Linked DNA regions of Struthio camelus. The protein of the gene in region 1 purifies or fractionates together with the protein of each later gene. This does not show direct contact. Links are inferred from orthologs where the notes say so. Each region holds a gene or a part of one and is shown on either strand. Other genes may lie near its edges.

Region 1 (12,042 bases):
ATCATCGGAAAACTCTCACAGAAGAAAGACTGAGGAAAAAGCCAAAGCCAATGGTAAGTCTAAATGGATTTTCCAATCTGTCTGAAGGCAGTGGAAGCAGTAGCTCTATAGCCTTTTAAAATTTGCATTCTGGCACAATTCTAATGTTTCTGGGCACACAAATTGAGCCCAGCTTGGCTATAAAGTTCATTTCACCCTGTATCACAACACAGCCAGAAAGAAAACCCCAAGATGAAACCTTGCAGCAGGTTATCAAGTAATCTGCTCTTAAGAAGTTTCTTCTTCAGCCTCACCAATACATGTTTTAAGAGCTTCTAAGCTGTTTTGTTCAACAGAATGGACCCTCTCCTCAGCCACTTTGAATCGAGAACTTAATGTTCAGTGACACCTTGTGCTGGTGAGAGAGACAAGTCAATTTGGTACAAATAAAATATTTCCAGGGGGCACTTCCCAGTATGTTCTTTTATTATATGCCCCGATTCTCATTCTCAAATTTCCACTTTCAAATCTGACTGGCAGCAGGTTAGGAAAGTTCTTAGTCTTCAGTTACCAATTTTCAATGCCTTCTCTGTACTACCTGTATTCCTGCTCTTTCCTCTGATATGCCTATTAATCACAGTCAACAAAACCGCACCTTTGAATCTGGTGTGCTGAAACGTACAACAGCGACATCTCCTTTGATATCACAGCTAACGTGGGTTCTAGCTGGAAACAAACGGAAACACTTTATTAGCTTATGTTTAGTGGATTTTAGGAAAGAAAAATCAACTCACATACAAAAGCTTTACGCTTACCCTGAAGAACAGTGGAGGTGGAGATACCACGGCAAGCATAACCTAAGGAAGAGATGTTGCAGATGTTACAGGCATTCTCGGTAAGCTTTTAAGGTGATCTCAGCTCAGATCTTAATATACTCTCCCATCTTCCCTTATCTGCCGAGGCCGGTGTTTCAGAAAATCCTGAATACCGGCCAGTTCCTTCTGCTATGGCTCGACCTGTGCCACCACCAGAATTCAGTGGACTCCATGCTACTGAAGTGACATTGGCAGGACAGATCCCACACGGGACTTTCCAATAACAGGAATGCCAAACTGAGGGCAAAAATCAAAACCTTTTTACTAAAGAGCTGACAACAGATTAAGCAGGGGACCTACGGAGGGGTTTTGACATTAGGCGTGCACGGTTCAACACTTCTTCACATGCTAAATTAGAGAGACCTTACCACCCTTTGGACACTTTCAAGCCTGCGTATAAAGTTCTCCCCAGACTAAATAGAAATGTCCTAGAATATCTCTGCAAAAATGCACTACTATGCCTGTAAATGTTGGCATTCCAAGTGTTATTGCACAGATCACAGGAAACATAGCTGTTAAGCCACAAAGAAACAGCACACAATGTTTATTCTCTCCTCCACAATCTATCAAGGCAATGGTTGATCCATCTCTACAAATTACATACGCAAGTACCTAGACAAACTTGTCTTGTTTTGAAACTTGCTCTGAAAAAACAGCACGAGGGATGACCAAAATCTGTATAACAGTGAAATGCTACTTTACTCGCACAAATATCCCAGATTCCCCTTTCCTGCCAAGAATTTGTATTCTGCCTGATGATCTCTCACTACGCAAGCGAGTCTCAGTTCTGTTCAAACGACCTTGATCTTGACTGAGAGGATCACCCAACGCAGATCTAGGCTGAATCTCTGCCAAAGCTGTTTGAATTCTCAAAGTCTAAAAGTGTTACTTCTTAAGCAACGTACTGTACACCTACCAATTGGAACACAGCCATTTACTACGCAGCACTGGTAAAACGCTCGGGGCTGAAACAATCCCTGTCCCAGCAGCAAGAAGGCAGAAAACCCAGGAGAACGAAAACAACCTTAAAACCTTGGCCTGCACCTCGCAAACAGACACGCTTCCCTCCCCACAGCCCCGGGCCACGGGCTCGGGGCTAGAGCTCCTTTGCACTTTGACCCTCTTTCCACTTTGTCACAGGTGCTGGCACTGGGGAATGACCTTTGCGCTCCATTCCCCAAGCCCAGGACACCTGGCAGGATGCCACGGGCTGGGGATGGAAACTGTGTGTCAGTCCGTCTCAACAGACTTCTCTTTGATGGGAGCAGGGGGTCACGTACTTGCGATACCATTTTATAAACAAAGCGTGAACTGGTTTCCACTCCAAAGCGGCTTTAAAATATTTATGGGCCTGAACAAGGCCCAGACTGCAATTACTCAGGTCAACATTAATTTCCTTAGACTTTCTGTGCACTAAAGTCGGGTACTCCTGGAACGAAGCACCAGCTCTCATTTTCCACAAAACAGAGCATTGTCTGCCAACAGTTTCTCCACTGACGTACGCACCTCAGCAGAATCCGATGCACTTCATTGGGTTAAAATACCACAATTAGCAAGCCACCCACAGAATCACAGAATGGTGGAGGCTGGAAGGGACCTTCAGAGATCATCCAGTCCAACCCCCTGCTCAAGCAGGGTCACCTAGAGCAGGCTGCCCATCCAACTCCACTACATTAGCCAGGTGAGCACTGAACAATCCTACTGAACGTCTTCACTTTAATCCCTGTATTACTCCATAGTGACAGGCATGGCAGGAACGAGAATCAGATCAAACAAACATCCCAGCTGCAGATCAAGTGATAATGCTTTCCTCCCACACCCTCAGTCAGGCACCTCCTAAAGGTGGGGTGGGGGAAGGAAAATTTTCCAAGAAAATTTTAAACCTTGAATTCCACTTTACCTTTCAGTTTTAAAACAACAGATACAGAGCAGGAAAAAAAAATCATCAAGGGCAAGACAGAACAAACCTCACCGCGTTTCAATATAAGCTCTTTTGGGAAACGTACTGCTGTTAGAGTAACAGTTGCTTATTATTTGAGTGAGGTTTTTTTTTTTTAATTATAACTTTCTGTGTGTTTTTCTTGACAATATTTTATTTTAGGGTCCAGTATACTCTTGGAAAACAATTTCTACGTCTAAAATTAAAAGCACATTTATGCAGTCACAGTACAACTGCTTTAGGTTTTGATTTCATTCAGAAGGAGCTGTGATAACTTGCCAAGATTGAAGCCAGAAAAAACCTCTTCCAAATTCTGTAGGAATAACAGCAGGCCAGATGTACATTTCTGCCATTTTATTAATGTTCATTCTAGAACTAAAAGCCCTGAATATATATTCAATTTTCACTATTTCACATTCTTTGCTCTTTGGACAAATGAAAGACTGTCTGTACAAAGGAACACCAAACACTTCAGAAAATTGTTCTCAGGATTTAGCAGAGAGCTTCAGAAGCAAGCAGGGAATGGAAAAGCCCCCTTTCAAACAATCTGGCTGGGACCTGTTTCGTCCCACTTTCTCTTTCCTCTGTCACTTCCTTGGCTGCTTCCTTGTCCTGCACTTCCCCTTCCTGCCTTTCCATTCCCCCCGAAGCAGCACATCACTTGAAGGGGGAACATCGTCCATAGATGGTTCACGAGGAAAGGCTTCTTGTAGTCCTGGACTGGGCAAGCGCCAGCAGAACAGAAGAGCTGAAGCTCACGAAGACGGCTGTACCTGCGAGCTGATCGCACTGAGCACTGAACTGCGAGCCGCAAGACGGGAAACTTCCAACAAACTGAGCTATTTACTACCACCTCTGGGAACCTGTCAGCATATGGTATGATATATACATAATATACATATACATACGGAAGAGCAGGTAAGGCTAGCTCTTAAGCTTGCACGGCCTTCTGCCTACTTACTGCCTTTTGCAGTTCTTTTTTGGGCTGCCCGTGATAGATTCGCATCCGTTTTGGCAAATACGTTGTTACGGAAGAACAACACGTAGAAAGACTGCTATTAATTATGTCGCATGACGTGACATTAGCCACAGATAGATAGACAGATAGTCCTGACAGCGTTCCCGGAACAAAGTATTTGTAATGAAGAATATTGCCAGTTATAATGAGAAGCCCACAAGAGGCTGTTTAAGCAATCTCTGGAATTACTACCGATCTGCTCGTTATCAGTTGCAGTGCTCTGCTCTTCTAGCGATGAAGTCACATATAAACTTGCTCCAATCCTGCATGTAAAACAGGCATTAGGCTTAAATGAAACACTGCCTGACTTCAGCTCTACATTGACACCAGACCCTAAGGCCCTTCAAAGCAGAGAAATAAGAGCTTGTTTCTAATAAGTCTTAACCTTAGGCCCTCCCCAGGGGCACCTTGCAACTCCTTTCTTTGGTACCTCCGGGACAAAGCACCAAGACTCAGCCGCCAGCAGCCATCGCGCCCAAGCAGGAGGGGGCTCGGGCTCAGTCAGCAGATGGCAACGGAGCAGCGGTCGATGACCGGGACGCTTCTAAACGTGACCTAGACGCGGCCCAAAGACAGCTGGCGAGGCCCCTGCAGACACAGGCACGCATGGGGACGGTGCGTTCCCTCCGCCACGCAGGGACACGGGGGCCCCCTCCCCTCAGGGCCACGCGCACAGACCCCCAAGGACAGAGCTGTCCCCCGGGGGGGCACGCACGCACGGGCGGGGGCAGAACACCCCTTGCCGTGGGCACGCGTGGGAAACCGCTCCTGGGGGACAGCCGCAGGACACCCGCGCGCAAGGGCATGGGGACGCCCCCCCCCCCACCCCGCCACGCACGGATACTGGGGACACGCGCAGCGTGCCAGGACGCGAGCGCACACCCCCTCCCCGTAGGGTCAGCTCGCAGGGCTGCAGGGACCCTCTAGCCTAAAACGTGCCCGCGGGCGAGGACATGGGGACGCCGCCCCAGGGAGGCGCGTGGGAGCACGTCCCGCGTGGGGACACCAACACGTGCAGGCACACCGCTGTCCCCCAGGACGCCCGCGCACCTGGGGGATGGCGGGGGGACACCTGGACGCCCTCCCCCCCGGGCAGGTACCGGCTGTTGGGACACCAGCCGCCCCAGGGACACAGGCATACGGGGGCTGTCCCCTCCCTAGAGCCCCCCAGAAACACGAACACCCGTGGATGCCTCCTAAGAAGACCCCCCCCTTCCTCAGCGACACCTCCCAGTGACACCTAATCCCTCACAGTGACACATACATACATGAGCTCAGTAACCCCTGTCCCTCACCCCCCCCACCCCGGGGACACGCACGCGCGTGGGCACCCCCCCGGGGACACACACACGCGAGGCCCCACTTCCCGGTGCCCCCCCCCGTGCGTGGCCCCACCGCCAGGTGCTTTCCGTGCCCCCACAGCGCCCCTCAGTGACACGCACACGCGTGGGCACCGCCCCGGGAGGCCGCGCCTCCTCCTCCTCCCAACCGCCCGCTCGCTCGCTCCCGGCCCGGCGGCGGGGCCCCACGCTGCCGTCGCCGCAGCTCACCCGGGGGCCGCTGGCGGCGGGGCGGGCAGTGCTTGGCGGCGGCCATGAAGCGCCCCAGGCTGCCGATAGCGCGCACCGCGGCCGCCATCTTTGCTGCGCGCGAGGTCGAGTGAGGGAGAAGCGTCGCGGGCGCCGCCGGGGGCCTTCGGCGCTCCCTGTCCCTCCCTCCCTCCCGGCCCCGCCCCGCCCGCGCCTGCCCGCGCCGCCAACCGCTCCCCCTCCGCCGCCAACCGCTCCCGCCCTCCTCGCTCCACTCTTCTCCCCGCGGCGCCTCGACCGTCCCTCACCTCCTCCGAACGGGAGCGGGCGGGCGGAGCGGCGGGAAGGCGGACAGCCGGGCTGTCAGGGCTGCCGTGTCGGTCAGGCGCGCGTCGGGGCAGCCCGCGCGGGGCGGGGGGAGCGGGGTCCTTCCAGAGTGGCAGCGCGGTGGCGGCGGTGGTGGCAGGAGGGCGCAGGCGGCGGCGGCGGGGCCGGGTCGGGCCGGAGGTGCGCGGGCGACGGCGGCGACGGACCTCATGGGGCGGGGGGGGGACGCGGGACGGAAGTGGGGTTTGCGGGTGTGAGGCGTCCAGAGGTGTGTGAGAGACAGCGGCGTGTAGGTCGGTGTGGGGGTGTGTGTGGGGGGGGGAGTGTGTGTGGGGAGGTGTGTGTGTACGGGAGTGTGTGGGGGGGGTGTAGGGATGTGGGGTGTGTGGGGAGGGGAGTGTGTGGGGGGGGTGGGGGGGAGTGTGTGTAGGGGGGTGTGGGGGGGTGTAGGGATGTGGGGTGTGTGTGGAGGGGAGTGTGTGGGGGGGTGTGGGGAGGTGTGTGCGGAGGGGGGTGTGGGGGGGTGTAGGGATGTGGGGTGTGTGTGGAGGAGAGTGTGTGGGGGGTGTGTGTGGGGTGTGTGGGGGGTGTGGGGAGGTGTGTGTGTAGGGGGGTGTGGGGGGTGTAGGGATGTGGGGAGTGTGTGGAGGGGAGTGTGTGGGGGGGTGTGGGGAGGTGTGTGCGGAGGGGGGTGTGGGGGGGTGTAGGGATGTGGGGTGTGTGTGGAGGGGAGTGTGTGGGGGGGGTGTGGGGAGGTGTGTGCGGAGGGGGGTGTGGGGGGGTGTAGGGATGTGGGGTGTGTGTGGAGGGGAGTGTGTGGGGGGGGTGTGGGGAGGTGTGTGCGGAGGGGGGTGTGGGGGGGTGTAGGGATGTGGGGTGTGTGTGGAGGGGAGTGTGTGGGGGGGGTGTGGGGAGGTGTGTGCGGAGGGGGGTGTGGGGGGGTGTAGGGATGTGGGGTGTGTGTGGAGGAGAGTGTGTGGGGGGTGTGTGTGGGGTGTGTGGGGGGGAGTGTGTGGGGGGGGTGTGGGGAGGTGTGTGTGTAGGGGGGTGTAGGGATGAGGGGAGTGTGTGTGGGGGGGTGTGGGGGGGAGTGTGTGGGGGGTGTGTGGGGGGTGTAGGGGGTCTGTGTGGAGGGGAGTGTGTGTGGGGGGTGTGGGGATGTGGGGGGGAGTGTGGGGGGTGTGGGGATGTGGGGGGGTGTGTAGGGGTGTGGGGGGTGTAGGTGTGGGGGGAGTGTGTGTGGGATATGGGGGGTGCGTGTAGGGGTGGGTGTGTAGGGGGGTGTGGGGGTGTGTGGGGTGTGTGCGTAGGGGGTGTGGGGATGCGTGTAGGGGTGTGGGCAGGTATGGGGAGTATGAGGGTGTGTGTGGGGGGGTGTGAGGGGGTGTGTGTGGGTGTGTGGACATGCATGTGCGCCCGTGGTGTTTGTGAAGGGGTGTTTGTCACGCGCCAGGGCTGTGGGGTGTGAGTCGTGGGTGTGTAGTGCGGGGGGGGGGGGGCGGTGTTAAGCGTTAAAAGCGTGGCAGGATGAGGCGCGTCTTATCCGGAGGCAGCTGAAGAGCAGGAGCAGCAGGGGCCGGTTTGGCCCTCCGCAGGAAGAAGCGCGGCTGGGGGTTTGTCCGCAGGGAAGCCTTGCGGTCCCGCTGCGGAACGAGCACGGAGAAAGCCGCTGGGGGAAGCTTTTGGGGTGGCGGTGGCCAGCTCGTTCTGCTTCCCGTGGGGATACGCCACGAAAGTCACTGAGCTCAGAGTCAGCAGTTGAAATTCAGGGCAGCGGCACGAGGTTGCGCCAAGGAGCGCGCGTTAGGAGAGTCATGCTGGCGGGGAGATTGGCTGGGCTCTGGGACAATTTTCCAGCGGGGAAGTGGTGGAACGGGTATTGCGAGGGGAATCTAAAACTGTGCTGGCTGCTGCGCTGCTGATAGTGATAGTACAGTGCTGGGTCATCAGCGAGATGACTGCTTATTTACAGCAATGTTTGCAAGCCGCAGTCATAAGTCAGACTTCTCACGTGCTAGATGCTGTTCAGAAAGTACAACAGAATGTAATTCCCTGTGCTGCTGCACTTGACTGCCCTTGATGTGTCTTCTCTTCCTCTGCTTTTTTGGCTCTGTGTGAATCAAGCAGTATGCTTACCTTGAAATTGTTCTGAATAAGCCAGATTGGACTAATAGCAGTCTTTCTTCACCTCTCTAGACCTCAAGATGACTTCCATGCTGACCCATATCATCAGAAACCTCCCTGCTTCCTCAGCATGGGCTGCCAGGGTCTGTAAGTATCTTTATGTTCATTAGAGACTTGAACTGGTAGGTCATAAAGTTCTCTTTGTTTTAAGCATTACGTTTGGCAGGGACACTTTTGTCTGAATCTCTGTTACGTTATGGTTTTTTTTTTTTTTTAAACAACTAATTCTGTTGTTGACGTATTTGTTGTTTCCCAGATCTCCCAATATGGGAGGAATCTCATGTTAACTGGTAATATGTACTATGTTGTTTTTATGAACACAGTAACTTAAAAAAAAAACCTTGCAGATATTCAGGTGCACTTGTATTGGAACTTCTTTTTTTTTAACGTTTCTTACAAAAATAAATAGAAATGTTTTTATAATTATAATTTGATAAATGCTCCTTTTGTGGTTCTTGTTTTTCAGCTGCAAGATCACTCAGCTGCTCTTCACAGTTACAGGCAGCAGGTAAAGTGAAAGCTTCAGTGGGTTTCTATTAGAGACTATTTTTGAAGCTGCCTCCCTTTTCCAGATACTCATTCTACATAGATCTCAGAAACACAAGGCAGACTTCGTTAATTCTAGAGGGCCCTTCTAAAGTTGCAAAAAAGTAAAGCTACAGGCAAAACAGTGTTTCCAATAAAGAGTCCTCTAAACATCTGAATCTCCCTCACCCCCAACAACTGTGCCTGGTCTGAAGCTCGTGCCACATTGTCACCTGATAGATTGCTATTTCTAGGATCCTAGACAGAGAGGCTAAGCTAGGAGGTTATAAGCTGTCTGGTTATAACCAAGTCTCTTGCCCGGGAGGGGTGGAGGTTGCCCCTGACTAAGAGAGGCTTGTGGAATTAGCTCAAAGGTCCAGTAAGACCTATGAGAGGCTCAGGTCTCAGTAGAGCGGCTTAGTGTGCACAATTACATTGATTGTTAGATGTGTGTGTTTTTAAGCCGTTTGGGTAGTGTGGGGTTCTGGGATGTGTTCTGGGGTCACTCAGGTGACTGTGATGCTTTGAGCTGCCTGGATTGCAAAAAGACAGCAGCCCCCGCTTGTCTCCTTAGCTTCATCTGGAGAACCCTCTTATATGACTCAAGTTTAGTGCTGGAGTTTCATACTTGTGCTTTCACTTGCTTGAGCACAGTATTTAGCTGGATTTAATCTGCTTTTACATGCCTTTTCCTTTTCTGGCTTGTAAATGCAGCTGCCTCATGCTGCTGTGTCTGCTGGTTAAGAATTGTAAACCTGACTGCATTAGGAAATTCTCATTGAGCTCCTTGTTAATCATCTCTCTAGAACAGCACTGACAGTGGTGTATTAAATGATGCTGTATCATGGCGTTGCTTTGTCTCAAACCTGAGATACTCCCAGGCATTATGAGGGAGTAGCAAGCTACCCACAACAGCTTTGTGCCCTCTTTTTGCTAGTACTTTCCTATGGAAGTGAAAGTTAGTTGACTTCTTGCACTGTGTTTTTATTTACTCTGAATTATCTCACCTTTGCTGTGCAATAGGAGCACATAAGTGAGCAATTGCTATGGAAGGTGGATTGTTTCCAGTCCTTGTTGCTTCCCGAGTGAAAGACTTTGAGGTCTTACCCTGGTTGCTCGTCTTTGAATTTGGTCCGCCTCATTTATATCCTAAGTCATTCAGCATTCTTGGAGGTGTCTTTTCCTGCGATATTTTTGTCAGTAGTAATGGAGTTTGAGGATTATGTTCCTTTATTCTGAGCTGTGCCATTGCCTCGATATAGCTATGGATGAATCTCTCTGCTGATGAGGGAAGCTGAAATTCTGTGTTGTTAAACCATTTTTCACAAACGGCATGCTCAACCAGACAGGGACAAGATTTTGCCTCGCATCTCCTACCTACTCTACTTTTGTCTTATGCACCAAAGGGGACTCTTTCCTGAGTTTTCTAGTAGCTCTAACAGGATCTGGCTTTAAGCTTGCTCATATTCTTGGCAATAATTACTTAAACTTCTCTCTAAGCAGTCCAGCCGAAGAGTAAGAAGACATTAGCCAAAAGTGGCGTGAAGAATATTGTTGTGGTAGAGGGTGTCCGTATTCCATTTTTGCAGTCTGGCACCTCGTAAGTATAAAATAATAAGAAAATACTTTGACTGGGTTAATAGTAGAATCTTTTGGTGGAAAATGTGGAATATGGTTTGCTATGTTGATTTCAATATAGTTACTTTTGTACATAAAAATACTAAGATGGCAAAGTTAGGCTGCTGACAGTTTTTCCAGCTTATATTATGAAAAAACGTGGCTTGAAGAAGATTGGCCATGAATATGAATTCAAAGGAGAATGCAGATTTGTGCTGCACATCTGGAGGAGCCCATTGATGCCCCTGTAGCAGATAAAGCAAAGCGTTTCACAAAACTAGCAGGACAGGGGCGGAGAATCTGCTGCAGACTCTTCTTATTAGACTATTATACCACCAAAATCACAGCTAAATTAGGACCAGAAGGAATATCTTTATTCTATTACTGTTGCTTTTCAGTGCTTTAGTATAGTGAACGTATGCTGACTTACACCTAGATAGTCTTTGTAACCGCAGCTATGAAATGTTTGCTTATGAATGCACTGTCCCTGTGATTCAGAGCATTTCTGGTGTCTTCACCAGTTCTGTGCTGCTGGTGTGCACTTACAGTGAAGAAGACGCCTGCGTTGGTTTCTGACACTAAGTTTCTGCCTCTCTCCTTGAACTTCCAGGTATGCGGATCTTATGCCACATGACTTAGCCAGAGCAGCATTGCAGTAAGTAAATGGACTGTCAGAAGAGCCCAAAAAATTGTCTTCTGCTGGACTCCAGGGTGCTGGTACAGTGACTTCAGCTAAGCTGAGAGCCAAGGTTCTAGTTTTGTTGCTAAACAATACGATCCAAGTGATTCATTTTTCGTGGTCTGCCACTGCCTTAGTAGGGGGTTCAATCAGTAGAGCGTACAATAGACTCGTGCAAAAGAGTATTGTTAAAAGGAGATTGCATTGTTGTGTTGTTTGACTTAATTTCACTTGATTTGGATTCTGACTGTGTATGGTTTTCTAATACAGAGGTCATAGCTACTATCTCAGTGTGCCTAAAGTTCAAGACAGAGACATCTAAGTGACATGGTGATTCAAAGACAACTAAGTGAGACGGAGAGTAACAAGCTAATTCTGTTGTCTTGCACGTTGCTTCCATCCTGCTGTGATTTGACAAGAGCTGTAGGTCACTAGCCGTGTTTTTTTAATTAAGAAACAGGGCAAAAACAGGACATGCTGTCGAGAAGAGTACTGTTGACAAGGCATGACTTGGGGGGCATGGAGATTTCAAGTCACAAGGAAGGATTGTGAGGTGTGGGGTTGGGTGCAGTCGTGCCAAATCTGAATGTCATCTTTGGGGAGCCAGAGGAAGGCCAATTAGGTTGACATGCAGTGTGTCAAGTGTGTGAGGGCTGTGCCACAGAGATTGAAGGCTGAGGTGGTTTTAGTGCACTGCTGGAGAGGAGGTCTTTATTGAGATGTTTTTACTTTTGTTTGGTGTTTTTGTAATGCATGAAACTACATTTGAATCGCACTAGCCTTAATGAATACCCCCAATGGGATTTGCTGTCTTAGCGTATTTGCCAAGATGTTTTGGCAAATGGTGTGATATGTTTTCTAATGAACTGTGAAAACTTAACTGCTCATTTTCTGTGTGTCTTTATGAGACTAATACATGTTCCTACACCGAAGGTAATCGGCTTTGTTATCCCTAAGCCCTTATTCCTTTAATTTTGATATCAGAATGCTCTGAGTTAGGGAAGGTATTAACAGCCGCTTCTCTGAGGAAAGAAGAGTAACTGCTTTCATGAAACTATCTGTGTAGTCATTTATATAGTGATATTATTGCTATGATTATTTGCAGTCTATAGTCATTTGCATCTTTCATCAAGTATATGTGCGTGAAAGATTTCTTCTGAATTAGGGATACAACACGTAGCTCTGTTGTTGCCTTGGTTCTCTGGCCCAGCTGGTAGAAGATGGATGTTTGAAAACCGTGGTGAGGTTATTGCTTACCTGGTACGAATTCTGTTTGTTTCTCTCTTCTCAGAGGGTTGTTGAATCGGACCAGTGTCCCAAAAGATGCTGTTGATTACATTGTTTACGGCACAGTTATCCAGGAAGTGAAA
Region 2 (12,034 bases), on another chromosome or scaffold:
CTCCTACCCTGTTGCTCACTTCACACCACCCACACCTGAGCCGGCAGCACGGTAACGCCTGACCCCCAGCAACACCATCAGAGACTGAAACCGTGGCACTGGCCCCAGCCCCACAGCGCAGAGGCTGCAGCGGACAGCAGGGTCGGGACCGATCCTCAGACCAGAGGCTCTCCGCAATGGTGGCCTCCCTTTCGCCGAGCTTTTACTACTTGCTATACTGTGCCTATCGCAATAGGACACTGCAATAGAAGCCATTCACACCCACCCCACGAGCCCAACAGCCAGCAGCAGGTGGGGACAGACCCCATGCCAGTGGGCAGGTGCTCCACGCTCTCCACTTGCGAGCAAAATAAAACTTCCCGCTCCAAATACACGCTTTTGATGACCGAGTTTGCAGCTCACCTCCCCGCTCCCCCTTTTGGAGAAGTCGTCAAAGCCCACTTAATTACTGAAATTACCCAGAGGCACCCATCTATCCAGTCCCAGCCATGGGAGATAATTGTAGTGAAAGCAACAGAACATTAAACCAACTGTTTGGTGGTCCCTGCCAAAAGCCCCACAGCTCCCATCAGACACCTCCTGCCTACCTAGAGGCTGACCTAGAGGCTGACCTAGAGGCTGGCCTTTGCTGTTACACAAAGCAGGGCAGTTGGAGGGCAGTAACACAAAAAGGTGAGGCGAGGTGAGCTCCAGAGCTTCAAATGGCAGGGAGGTCTCCAGCTACGCGCAAATGCAAATTTTTCAGGAAGAGAAAATATCGGGCTTAATCATGTTTTGCTTCACCAACAAAAGAAGCTGTTGAAATAGTTTTGTCAGACACAGCTGATAAGGATAATTATGTGGTGAGAGCTTAGTCATCCGTATCACAGTGACAGAAAGACAGATTCTCTAAACAACAACAAAAACTCCAGAAAGCCAAAACCCAAAGAACAGCTAAGTATAGAGCTTTCCAGATTTCAAAACAAATTAGAGAAGCACTCAGTCCACCAGGATAGATGCTCATCCAAGTCTACAAGTAGGTCCTGTAATTAACCACTAGAGGGAGCCCATTTTTCTCCATAAATGAAATGTTCATAATTGTTTTATGTGCACGTTTTGCATTCAGAAAATAAGAGAACAATCACAATGTGTAAAATATGCATATTTATATGAATACAGATTTTAATTTAAGCTGATATGGAGAGATACAGTTCAAGCAAGGCCTACTCTAGCATTTGCACCAATATACTTGCCAGACGGAGAAGAGGCACCAGTCAACGTGCTTGGTTTCATTAAAAATGGCCCTCTAAACCAAGCAGGCTACAAAGGACACTCCAATTTGCCCTTAAATTCATCAGCATAAACAGGTTGATATTGCATTCAGGAGTTCACCATCTAGCTGCCCTTGAGAAATCACATCTGCATTTCGTAGTTACAAACCAAATACAACAACAACCTCCAAGAGTGCTGGAGCAACGGAGGCTCCCCTTTAACTCAAGCAGTAAAGATCTGTCCCAGGGAGATAAGGAGCCCCAGATTCTTCTTTTTAAGACCACCGATGCAGTTTTGCCCATCTTTGTATTTACGCCTTGTACACTGCAACTGCTGGAACTTAAAACGCCCTCCAAAATTGGGTTTCATTACCCTGTCTGGACTCCGAGAGCCTCACCAAGTCCAGCTCTCTACCAAGGCGAAATTGCCAGGCCTGCTCTTTCCCCGGCTAGCTCTTCTCCAACGACTATTTAATACACGCCCTTGACAACGTTTCCCTTACAAAGCAGGGTTAGGTAGCCCAAAAGGACTGGGAGATGAAAACAAACGGTTCTGATTCCTTTCAGCTAAGCAGCCAGCAAAGCACGTGCTTGACACAGGCAACCAGATGAGCAGTGACACTGCCCGGCAAAGTCCGGCTGCCTTTACTCTGCGCCCTGCTCTGCTTCTCCTGCGTTACGCCCATCTCCCATGTCAAGCCAGAGAGGAAGCCAGTCAAGGAAGGTTACACCTTGGAGATAAACAAGCAGAAGCCTAGCCTAGACGGCAAGCAAGTTCCAAGCCTAGCCATGGCAAGCAGAACTCACAAGCCTCCTCCAGCAAGCGAGGAAACCATCTCTGCTCAAGCCGCTGGGAGGGGTCACCCATCGGATGTCAGTCATCCCAAGCCACGCCGTCCGGCCAGTGGACAAACCTGGACGTGTCCCCGTGAAGCACAATGTTTTCTGCAGGAGCTTCACTCTTTTTTCCCCCTCCACAAGGGATCCCATATTTTGTATGGGATCACAGAAAGGGGAAGAGGGTCATCCAACCAGAAGCTGCAGCACTCCCTAACACACAGGAACCCTTTGCTCAACTCGGTACGTCTTAAGGAAGCCAAGGCCATCATTTTCCCATACCCAAAGGGTAGGGAGTATCTCCGTCAGCATTTGAAACTTTCCTCTTGGCAGACCTTCACCTATGAAGCCAAGTGTGCACGTGCTTGTCGGGATTACTAACGTGAGCAGATGCTGCTTTCGTGTTTGGGAATTTTCCCATTGACTTCAACGGGACGAGATATAACACCTTGCGTTTTCCCTAACCCCATTTAATAACAGCTACTCACACATCTAGAGTGCTCCAACGTGTTATAGGCACCGTACAAACATCAGCAAGAAAACCAGGAACCCCTTTCTTGGTGTTTCTTGAGCAATCTGACGGGCTGAGAGTTTATCCCTGCATCAGATCCCTATCTCCTTGCCAGCTAATAACAGGAACCGCGCGACTGCTGATCTAACCCAGCTGAGCAGTCAGAAGCAGCCGCCACCTTCTGCTGAGCTGTGGAGACTTTATATTAGTCATAATCCTCTTAAATCGTAACAAAGAACACAGATCAGAAGGTGCAGTGTGTGCTGTAAACGTGCGAAACCCAACACACACAGCCGTTTCGGGGTGCATCAGAGCCCATGCTACTAGAGCGGAGGACATGTTTTTTTGAAGGGGGGGGAAGAGGTCCAGACGCCAGGCCCATGAGCTGGCTGCTCCCTCCTGGCAGCACCCAGAGCCACCGTGGGAGCACAACAGCACTCTTGGAGCATAGCCCCAGGACTCAAAGGACGTCCGTCACCAGCAATGGGAAGACCAAGATCCTCACGGAGAGGACGAACGTGAAGGGGTGCTGCCTCCAGAGGGCTCAAAATAAGACACAAAAGCTGGAGGCACTTGGGGCGGCTCGCACCTCCACCGGCCGCAGGGGGATGACCAGCTTCAGGAGACCCCAGCACAGGTCCAGCCCTGAACCAGCATCCTCAGCGTTTTTTTTAAACTTAATCAAAAATTGTTGTTGGTGGATACGTAGACGTTTATAGGCGCCAATCCCATCTAATCTGACAAGACTCCCATCACACAGGTTACAGCTCCCACAGTCAGCACGCTTAACTAAATCCGCTGAAACTAGCTTTTAAGCGATGGCTGAACATCTCAAAAGCACGCTGAAAATTACAATACTGTGCAATATTGTACTTGTGAGGGGGGAATTCTGCAGGAAGGTCTTGAGAGCCTCCCTTTGGGGGACACGGAAACTAGCATTGACTTCTGCTCTAACCTGCACAACAGCTAGCAAGTACACCTGACAACACCACCCTTTACTGTCAGCCTCAGAAATTTTCCATAATAAAGCGTATCGATCAACATGCAGTTTTCCCCGTATGGGATAAGTGCTACAGCAATAGAAAAGGGCATTCCCAAATACTTATCAGTTAGAAGTTTCACGTGATAATTACCAACAAAAATCTAAGTCTGTTAGCTGTTTCAAATACCAAGTGTGTAATATTTCCAGCAGCACATTTTTCAAATGTGGAAACTTCTCCCTCAAGCATTTTCCATGTGGTATTCCTCACGTTTTTATAACACGTATCCAGGCAGTTTCCCCCCTGCTTACAGTGTGAAAGATGCCCAGCTTGATACTATAGTTTTCACTACCCCTAGCTTAAGGCCGCCAACATACACACTAGTAGCACTTCGGAAACAAGACTTGCGGCTCCTCAAAACCTTGACGTTCGCAGTTACCTCTTATTGCATCTGAGCAATCTGCAGGCAAAAGATGTTTTACTCGCAGATAACCTGCAACAGCTACCCCATACTTGTAGTATGCAGTTCACGCGATCCTACACAACTGCTCCTGTAGTACTACTGCTCCACGCAATACCTGATCCACCGCCATTAATACCCATAAACATGTAGTCTTCTCAGTACTTTCTAGCTGAAACACATGACTGCTGATGTATTCACATTTGTAATAATTAGAGGCAAATTTATAAAAAGCCACCTTCTTGCTTAACCGAATCATTATTCTATTAGTAGTGATGTTCTGATGATTTCAAAATTCTCTACTGTTCAACTTCAAGGACTGCTCATTTGATTTTGGAAATTCACTCTTGGTTGCAACTTGACAAAGAAAGTATTAATTTGTTCACATTTATAAGACGTTTATTCGGTTCAGTCTTTTCCATTCATGGGTCAGACGACGAATTGCTTTCCCTGGAAAACTACCCTGTGAGATATTCAGCATAAGGCATTCTGTAGCTCAGATGCGAGCTACGAACCGCAATTTTTCCTGGGATGTCCCTGTAGGTTGGCTTTGGCACGTACGCCTGCATGTTTCATGCTTTGTCTGGAGGAGGAAGCTCCCACAAGCGAGGCAAAAGCTCTCAGATATGGGTCACAAGTCGGTGTATCAAAACTTAGACAAGAATAAAGAAGAAGATAAAAAATAGCATATTTTCCCCAGGCTTGTAGGAAAGAAAAAAAAAAAAACAACCCTGTGAACTAGACCTTGATATTCTTTTGATATTCCAGAGGTTTTGGACAAAGGAAGTCTACTACTGTTTGTCAGAAAATAGAGCGCGCTCTCCCTCCGTGGGCGAAGGCGAGAGGACGCGTGGTGGCACGGGCTGCCCAGGTTCCTTCCACACATTACACACCTGACCCAGGCTCGTTTCCCCCCCCCCCCGCTTCATTCCTAACTGCCAAAAACACCGTGCCAGGGTTTGCCTCCCATGCAAAGAGAAGAGTGAGAAGAGAGGAGAAACCCCAAACCCCAAACCCATGCCTCCTCCACCACTGCTCGCCTTGCAGCGCCTGCCAGCCCCGAGGCTGCCCGCGCCGCTCCACTCGCCCCCGTCCCCCGAGCAGGAGCCTCGGAGCAGGACGGCGGCGCCCGGCGCAGACAATGCCCCGAGCCCCGGCGGCGCCGAGCGCTGCCCGCCCCGGCCCCGGCCCCGGCCCCCGCCACTCACCGGAGATCTCGGCCTGGGGCACGCCGCTGAGCCCGAAGCCCTTGGCCCCATACAGCTGCCGCACCTCGGCGCAGCTCCTCGCCTTGCCGCCGCTGTCCGCGCGGGCCGGGGGCGAGGCGACACACAGCAGCCACAGTCCCCACGGGAGGAAACGCATCCTTCTGCGCTGCCCGCCACCTGCCGCGCGAAGGGCAACGCCAAGGTCCCGCGGCGGCGGGGGCCGCTGCCCGGGCAGCGCGGCGGCAGCGGCAGGGACGGGGCGGGCAGGCGAGTGCCGCCGCGCTCTCGGCCCGCGGAAGCGCTTTTGTTCCTAGCGCGGCTGCATGCCCCGGGCAGCCCCGCCGCGACGCTGCCGGCTGCCGAGCCGCCGGGCCGGGGCGGGCGGGGCGGGGCGGGGCGGGGCGGGGCGTGCGCGGCGGCGGCGGCGGCGGCGGCGGCTCGGCACCACCTGCGCGCCGGGCGGGCGGGGGCGCGGGGGCGCGGGGCGAGGCAGGGCTTCCCCCGCCGGACGTGGCATCACGGCGCCCGCGCCAATCCCGCGCGGGGCGCAGCCCCCGCCCCGCCCCGCCCCGCCGCCGCTTGCTGGGTTGTTTGACGGTGATTCGGCGGGAAGCAGCGGAGCTCCTGGGGACCTCGGTGAGCGTCCGCCCCGCCCCGCCCCGCCCCGCGGAGACGCGTGCGGGCCGAGAGGGGCGGCCCTGGCCGAGTCGTCCCCCTGCGGGCACGGCGCGTCCCCGCGAGCATCGCCCGCGTGGCGGGTCACCTCCGGAGGGCTCCCACGAGCGAGCCCACCAGCTCGTGGCCAGGAACGAGGACGCTTGCCGACGGATGGAGGGCCCACGCTCGCCCCGGCCGAGGCTCCTGGGTGAGCTTGCACCCTGCTAGACATCAGAGAAGCCCCACAGAAAGCCCCACCCCAGGTACAGCAGGGTCCCCGAAACAGCAAATTCTATGGGAGACTGCATCTTTCGGGCAAGTCACTCAGACGTGCGCAAATCCGTAGGAAAGCCGGGTCGCTCGTCTTGCTGCTTCAGGGACTGCTTGCTCTCCTGAGGAACGAGGAAGGAGAAAGAAGTGACAGCAAAATAACAGCCCCGGGGAGGGCAAGGATGGCAGGAGAGAAGAGGAAAGATGTTCCTTTCCTGTGAAATTGCCTAATGATTTCCTATGAACTTTTCCTAATTAAGTCACCCATGAGACGCAACCTAAGAGATGAAGAGGACCTGACTGCAAAGAGGGAAAATTCTCTAACAGAGATCACAGGAGCTCAAATGACATGTCACTGTAGCTAAAACTGTAAAAAGTCTGAGTCATATGAGCCTGTGCTATCTCCCAAATCATCTTCTACAGATCACACGGGGCTTCGAGGCTCTGGATGTCCATGCCCAAGCCTTGCCCAGCCTCAGCACGCACACGATACAGGTTTGCTAGCTCCCCCCAGCTTCTACACAGCAGTCTGCAAGTCCCTCCGAAACTTTACTGAGAATAGTGAGTTGACACTGAGCGAGACGTTGTTGGGCCGTGGAGTTAAGAGGGTCCTGTTATGAGGGCCCTACCTAAAAACAAATCCACGGTCTAGTGCAGGGCACCGATGGCGTGTGCCAGTGCCAGTGCCAGGGCAGCTGGCCATTTGGACCACAGTGACATCTGGGCTGATCAGAGGTGTATCAGTGATGCACAGGTTAGGAACCCCACGGAGGCGACTGACAGCCCAGTCGCCCACTTCATTAGCACCAAGGCTTTCAGTTCCCCCCAACTCGCTGTGCCTGAGCTTGAAGCTTCCTCGGGGGGGTTTCCAGAGCATGGAAAAAAGGTCTTGTTTCTGGAAACACGTGGGAAAATCTGCCACAGATGGACGTAAAGTCTGACCCACCCTCTCTTTTCTAAGTGCATGAGTACCGCGCATATTAACAGGTTTCTAAGTTCATTACGAGGAACAAGTTTATTTCAGCCCTTATTCCTGGTTATTTATTGTAATTTTATGGTCAGAGCTCTTTCCCTACCCCAGGCTTTGAATACAGCCCTTACAGAGCTACGTCACAGCTCTCATCTACTCAACCCACTACAGTAACAGCGGAAAACCAGCAGAAAATTGGCGGAATCCATGCAAGGATACATACTGCTAGGAGTACAGAAACACCAGGATCGTGGTTTCTCCTCCTGGTTCCAGAGGGAAAGTCAAACAGTTACAGCACAGAGCTAATACCGCTCTTGCTCGGGTCTGGTGAGGGGAATGAACTCCACGAATGCAAACTGCCGAGCCGGAGCACTTAAAAGAGCAGAAAGGCAGAGTCACAAACCTCTTATTTGCTCTGGAAGATGACACAGGAGCCCAAGCAGTACCTAATTTTCCCTTTTCCTCCTGCGCGCCCAAGGTAGGATCCTTGCCTCTGCGGTGCACCCAGGGCTCGCCCCCGGCTCTGCCTGATAGCACCTTGTGGGAGTGCGGCGTGGCTGTGCCCAAGCTCGCAGCACAACAAAGCCCTCCGCGACCGCACAGCTGGCGAGTGCCCGGACATGTTGGCAGCTGACACGGGAAGAACTGGGACTGAAACCCTCGGCTTTTGGCCTTGCGAACCATCCCCTGAGCTATAGATCATTTTACGGACAAAAGTATCTTCTTTGTTCATACACATCTCGCTCCCCCGAGCTGGGGGACAACACTGCCTGTAGCACAGACACTAAAGTCAGGTCATTCCTGATAAAATCCAGAGAGCCGGCAGCACACGCTCTGCTCGTTCAGAGTCACCCTGTTGTGTCCATGGGGAAGCACTGGGGTACGAATCACCAGTGCAGACTGCACCGCTGGTTGCCAAACCCGTCTCAAGAAGCAGAGCTGCAGGTACCACGAATTTCCTTGATTAAGTGACCTTCAGCACATGACTTTCCTGCTGAATGGGGATAACAGTGTTTCTTACCCAACCCCATGCCTGTGAGGTGTTTGCATACTATCATAATGACAAACTTATTAGATATAGCATATTATATATAATGAGAAGACAGCTTAAAAATAATCGATATGAGCTGTGTGACACAGCAGCTATCTGTGCGTCTCTATAGGATACAATCGTAAGCAAGCAAATCTTCAGCCTGTCCTGAGGCATGACTGCGTGTGCTGCTGTCGCTGGCAAGGCGTGTGTGCATACCCAGGATTTGGGCTGGGTACATTTTAAGCAAACTGAAATCAACACCTTCCAAGCGTCATGATGAAAATGTGTTTTTATGTGCATTATAAACCGCATTTCTTTCGTGTGCGTTTGAAGATCAGATCCACTTTCTGAACACGCTCAATTTAAAGAACGGAGCTTGGCAAAAAGCGAACGCAAGCTTGTCCGGCACCTCACAGAAAGAGCTAGAATTGGGGCAGAAAAGAAAGAACAAAGTAAAGCACAAGCTGAGTAGACAAAATGCAGAGGAGAAAAGCACACAGCCAGCCAGGAGGGTAGTCAGAGGCAGACAGAAAATCCATCCTGCTGGGGCGATCACCTCTTGTCAGCCCCCGACAAAAAGTGCTGCCTGCTGAAAAGCTGATCCAAGCATTACAAAGAGGTAAGAATGATGAAGAGGAGCCAAATCACCTGGCACAAGCCGGGAAAGTTACCCTTTCAAAAATAAATGAGCGGAGGCTTTGTAGTGTCTCGACTTCCACAGGTTCTCGTCCGTCTTCTCTTTCTCCAGCACTTCCGAAAGTTTCACAGCGCCATGGACATGCTCTTTTCAAACTAATGCAGATCAAGCGCTGCAGGGGCAGCAAAGCAATCGCATCCCCCAGAGCTCCAGCTGGCTCCATGACGGACCTGCGCTGAGCTACAACCACCGAGTGTCTGACCACAAAAGCAGAGCAGCAAAACCCCAAATACCCTGTTGAATCGGTAGGCAGACCCCGTCTACTTTTTTCATTGTGTATCAAATACAGAGCTGACAGGAAGTGGGGAGGGCGAAAGGAAAGGAACCGGGAAAAGCTTACGCGGCCTATAGCTTCCTCTCTCTCCCTTGCGGGTGTTGCACGATGAAACCCTCAGCCCCTCTCCCTGAGTCGGTTTTATGCCACATTTGACTCTGCAGAAGCCTCAGAAAATCTGGCACCTCGAGATTAAAAGCCTTCATCAAAGCAGGAGCAGATCAGTACCTCTTCTGCCTGTTTCTTTTCATCCTTGCTCTATCCGGCTCCTGCAGGAGTTCAGGCAAGCTCTCCCCCTGCTCCTCCCACCCCCAGGCTGGCTGCTGTTCAGCACAAGCTGGACACGCGCTTTGCTGAATCAAATCTAATTAGGTTATCCAGAGGATTTACTAGATTACACCTTGCTATCTGCAGCTGCTGACTTCTTCACTGGATCGTCCTCACTGGGACCCATGCAGCTCCTCCTCCCCTCCTGCACACAAACCCCTCCGAAGCTTTTCGGACACGCGCAGGAAGAGCGTACGTGATTGCTCTGGTCACAGAAAAATATGAAATCTATCCTTTTAAATTGCTGGGTCACCTACGTACAACTGACAAATCCAGCTTGATCTCAGCTGACTACGTGAGAAGCCATTTGCTCTACCGAAGCGCTAAGACTTGCTGGGATTTGTGTATCTGTGCTAATTAATGAGGACTATGGTTCCACAGATGTACAGAGCTGGGGACCCTTCCCAGCACCGGAGCTCCCAGCAAGCCAGAAGTCAGACCTCGGCGCAAGAAAATTCGTAATTCTGGCCACGGCGGAAGAGGAAAAGAGGACGGGGGCTGCAGCAGGGTACACCAACGCTCAGCCTAGCTGCTGCTGGACCCTCGATTCGAGCAGACCAGCTCCCTTTAAATGCAATGCTTAATTCCAGCGTGTGTGGTTAGTACTCTGTAGGGTGAGATTATCAACCACCAAATAATTTCAGGCAGAGAATCTGGCTAATTGCCCCTCTGTGCTCTGCTTCGGGTTGAACGACCCACTTTTCCAGCAGTGACTTAAAGGAATGCATGGCTGTAATGACCTCTTACCAACGACTCCACCCTGTAGGACCGTGCTTGTGTCATACGTGCCTCAGAGATTTCCCAGTAGAAAGCAGTCTTAAAGGCCAAAAAATAAATATATGCCAAAAACTCATTAGAGAAACTGCTGCTAATTGGGTCTGCCCCAGGAAATATATTTCATCCTTTTTGGACATGACTTTCAATAAAGCTTTCCTGACTCCCAGCTCCCCAACAAGTTTGTAACAGTGAATGAAGAATACAGACACAGTATTGAATCTGTTTTATAAAAGCAGGGCTTAGCTTGATATATGAAATGGCTCAGAACTGGCTCTAAAATTACTAGGTTAGAAATGTGTGTTTTCAGCATGCCACTACAGTGATACACAGATTTCTCCCCCTGCTTGCAAAAACCACAGTTGGGACCACTTCCTCTTATCGTTCAGAGGGTTATGTCCAGAGCTTGGCTGTTTTTGAAAGGGTTTTATGAAGTAGAAATCTCCCCTCAGTCTGTCATTGGTCGCTGGGCACTGGCTTAAGAAAAGCGCCCGCAGGAGCAAACTCCGCGCCTACGAGTGCAGCAGCACCTAAGCACTGGTCCAAGGCATATGGACCTGGGTCAGGCATCCTGTGCACTTCAGTGCGGAAAAAAAAAGCTACAGCCACAAAGAAAGAGATGTGTGGTGCAGCAATCCAGCCGTTCTGCAATGCTAACAGAGCGTCCTCGAGCCGACGCGTTATCCTCAGCTGATGCTACATTAAACACTACATAAAGCGCTTTAATGAATTAACAGAATTATCTTACGTCCTGCTCAAGTGTTTACTTTTTCCCTCACATCCAGTTACATATAACATAGGCTGTTTTCACAGAGAAATTGGCTATGAGGAAACACCCATTCTGTGGTGCTGAAAAGCACCGAACGCCTTTAGTTGCAAGGAGAGGCTCTCGCGCTCCCGGGCTTTGCACAACGGACTTTGGCGATGCTGCGAAGGGGTGTCAGCCAGCAGCACGGGCAAGCTGGGGTTAAACCCCAGTGAGCGGGAAGGACAGCTAACAGCAAATGTTCGACAGCGTTTCACACAGAAACGATAAAAACTGAATTTGAGTTTGGAAACGCATCCTTCCCATGCCTTTTTCTCTGAGTTGTTAATAAGATAATTACCAGGTGACACAGATTTTTTGATGTGTGCCAGCTTTACTTCTGATGCAATGCTGCACACAAGTAAAGTGACATCTGGAATGGATCTGGTCCAGCGTGTTTTTCATTTTAAGATCTATGCATTTTGCAACACAAATACAGTGTACGCATCCACTATGGCTACATGAATTTTAGGGTGCTTGAAGGCCAAGCCTTCAGAAGATAGTCCGATGTCAGTGAAGATACACTGATTTATCCCGGTCGAGGATTTGGCGCCTTTACAATCCAACATCTGCTTGCGATCTTAGTATCGCTCTGTGTACAGTTTCTTTTGTCAGGACCACATAAACATCCAGTACTGGATTTTCCGAGATGCCAGATGACACACACCCATGTTCTGAAGATTAAAAATAGAGCTCTTAATCTGATTTCATTTCTTCAACCTGCTAGAAACCAGAGAGCATGAATACAAGGAGATGTACGGAGCCTGGGTGTAAGAAACGACAGAAATCACCAGCACACTTAATTCTGTCTTACTTTTTTTTTTTTTTTTCTTACAGTGTTACTTTTGAGTATAGCCTTGAGAATAAGTTGTTCGCAGTATCCATGTAATTTTATATCGCATACATAATTGTGCCTCAGGCAGGACCGTTATTCCGTGGCTAAAGGGGCAAAGCTGAGATCCTTTGCCTCTATTGTGGTCG

The links.
Region 2: the proteins of HADHA (region 1) and GPC1 purify together in Homo sapiens (co-immunoprecipitation; 3 studies listed by BioGRID and IntAct, with this or other methods). This does not show direct contact. The link is inferred for Struthio camelus from reciprocal best matches to the Homo sapiens genes HADHA and GPC1.

Annotation. Positions count from the first base shown.
Region 1 is NC_090944.1:1,813,088-1,825,129, forward strand, and holds the start of HADHA (trifunctional enzyme subunit alpha, mitochondrial), read right to left. Parts: upstream 5,518-12,042; 5' UTR 5,450-5,517; coding exon 5,362-5,449; intron 837-5,361; coding exon 795-836; intron 706-794; coding exon 635-705; intron 1-634. Other genes in the region: HADHB (trifunctional enzyme subunit beta, mitochondrial), read left to right, coding at 7,872-7,938, 8,318-8,359, 9,877-9,976, 10,604-10,648, 11,964-12,042. UniProt on the Homo sapiens protein: Mitochondrial trifunctional enzyme catalyzes the last three of the four reactions of the mitochondrial beta-oxidation pathway.
Region 2 is NC_090950.1:8,216,176-8,228,209, forward strand, and holds the start of GPC1 (glypican-1), read right to left. Parts: upstream 5,640-12,034; 5' UTR 5,404-5,639; coding exon 5,247-5,403; intron 1-5,246. UniProt on the Homo sapiens protein: Cell surface proteoglycan that bears heparan sulfate. Binds, via the heparan sulfate side chains, alpha-4 (V) collagen and participates in Schwann cell myelination.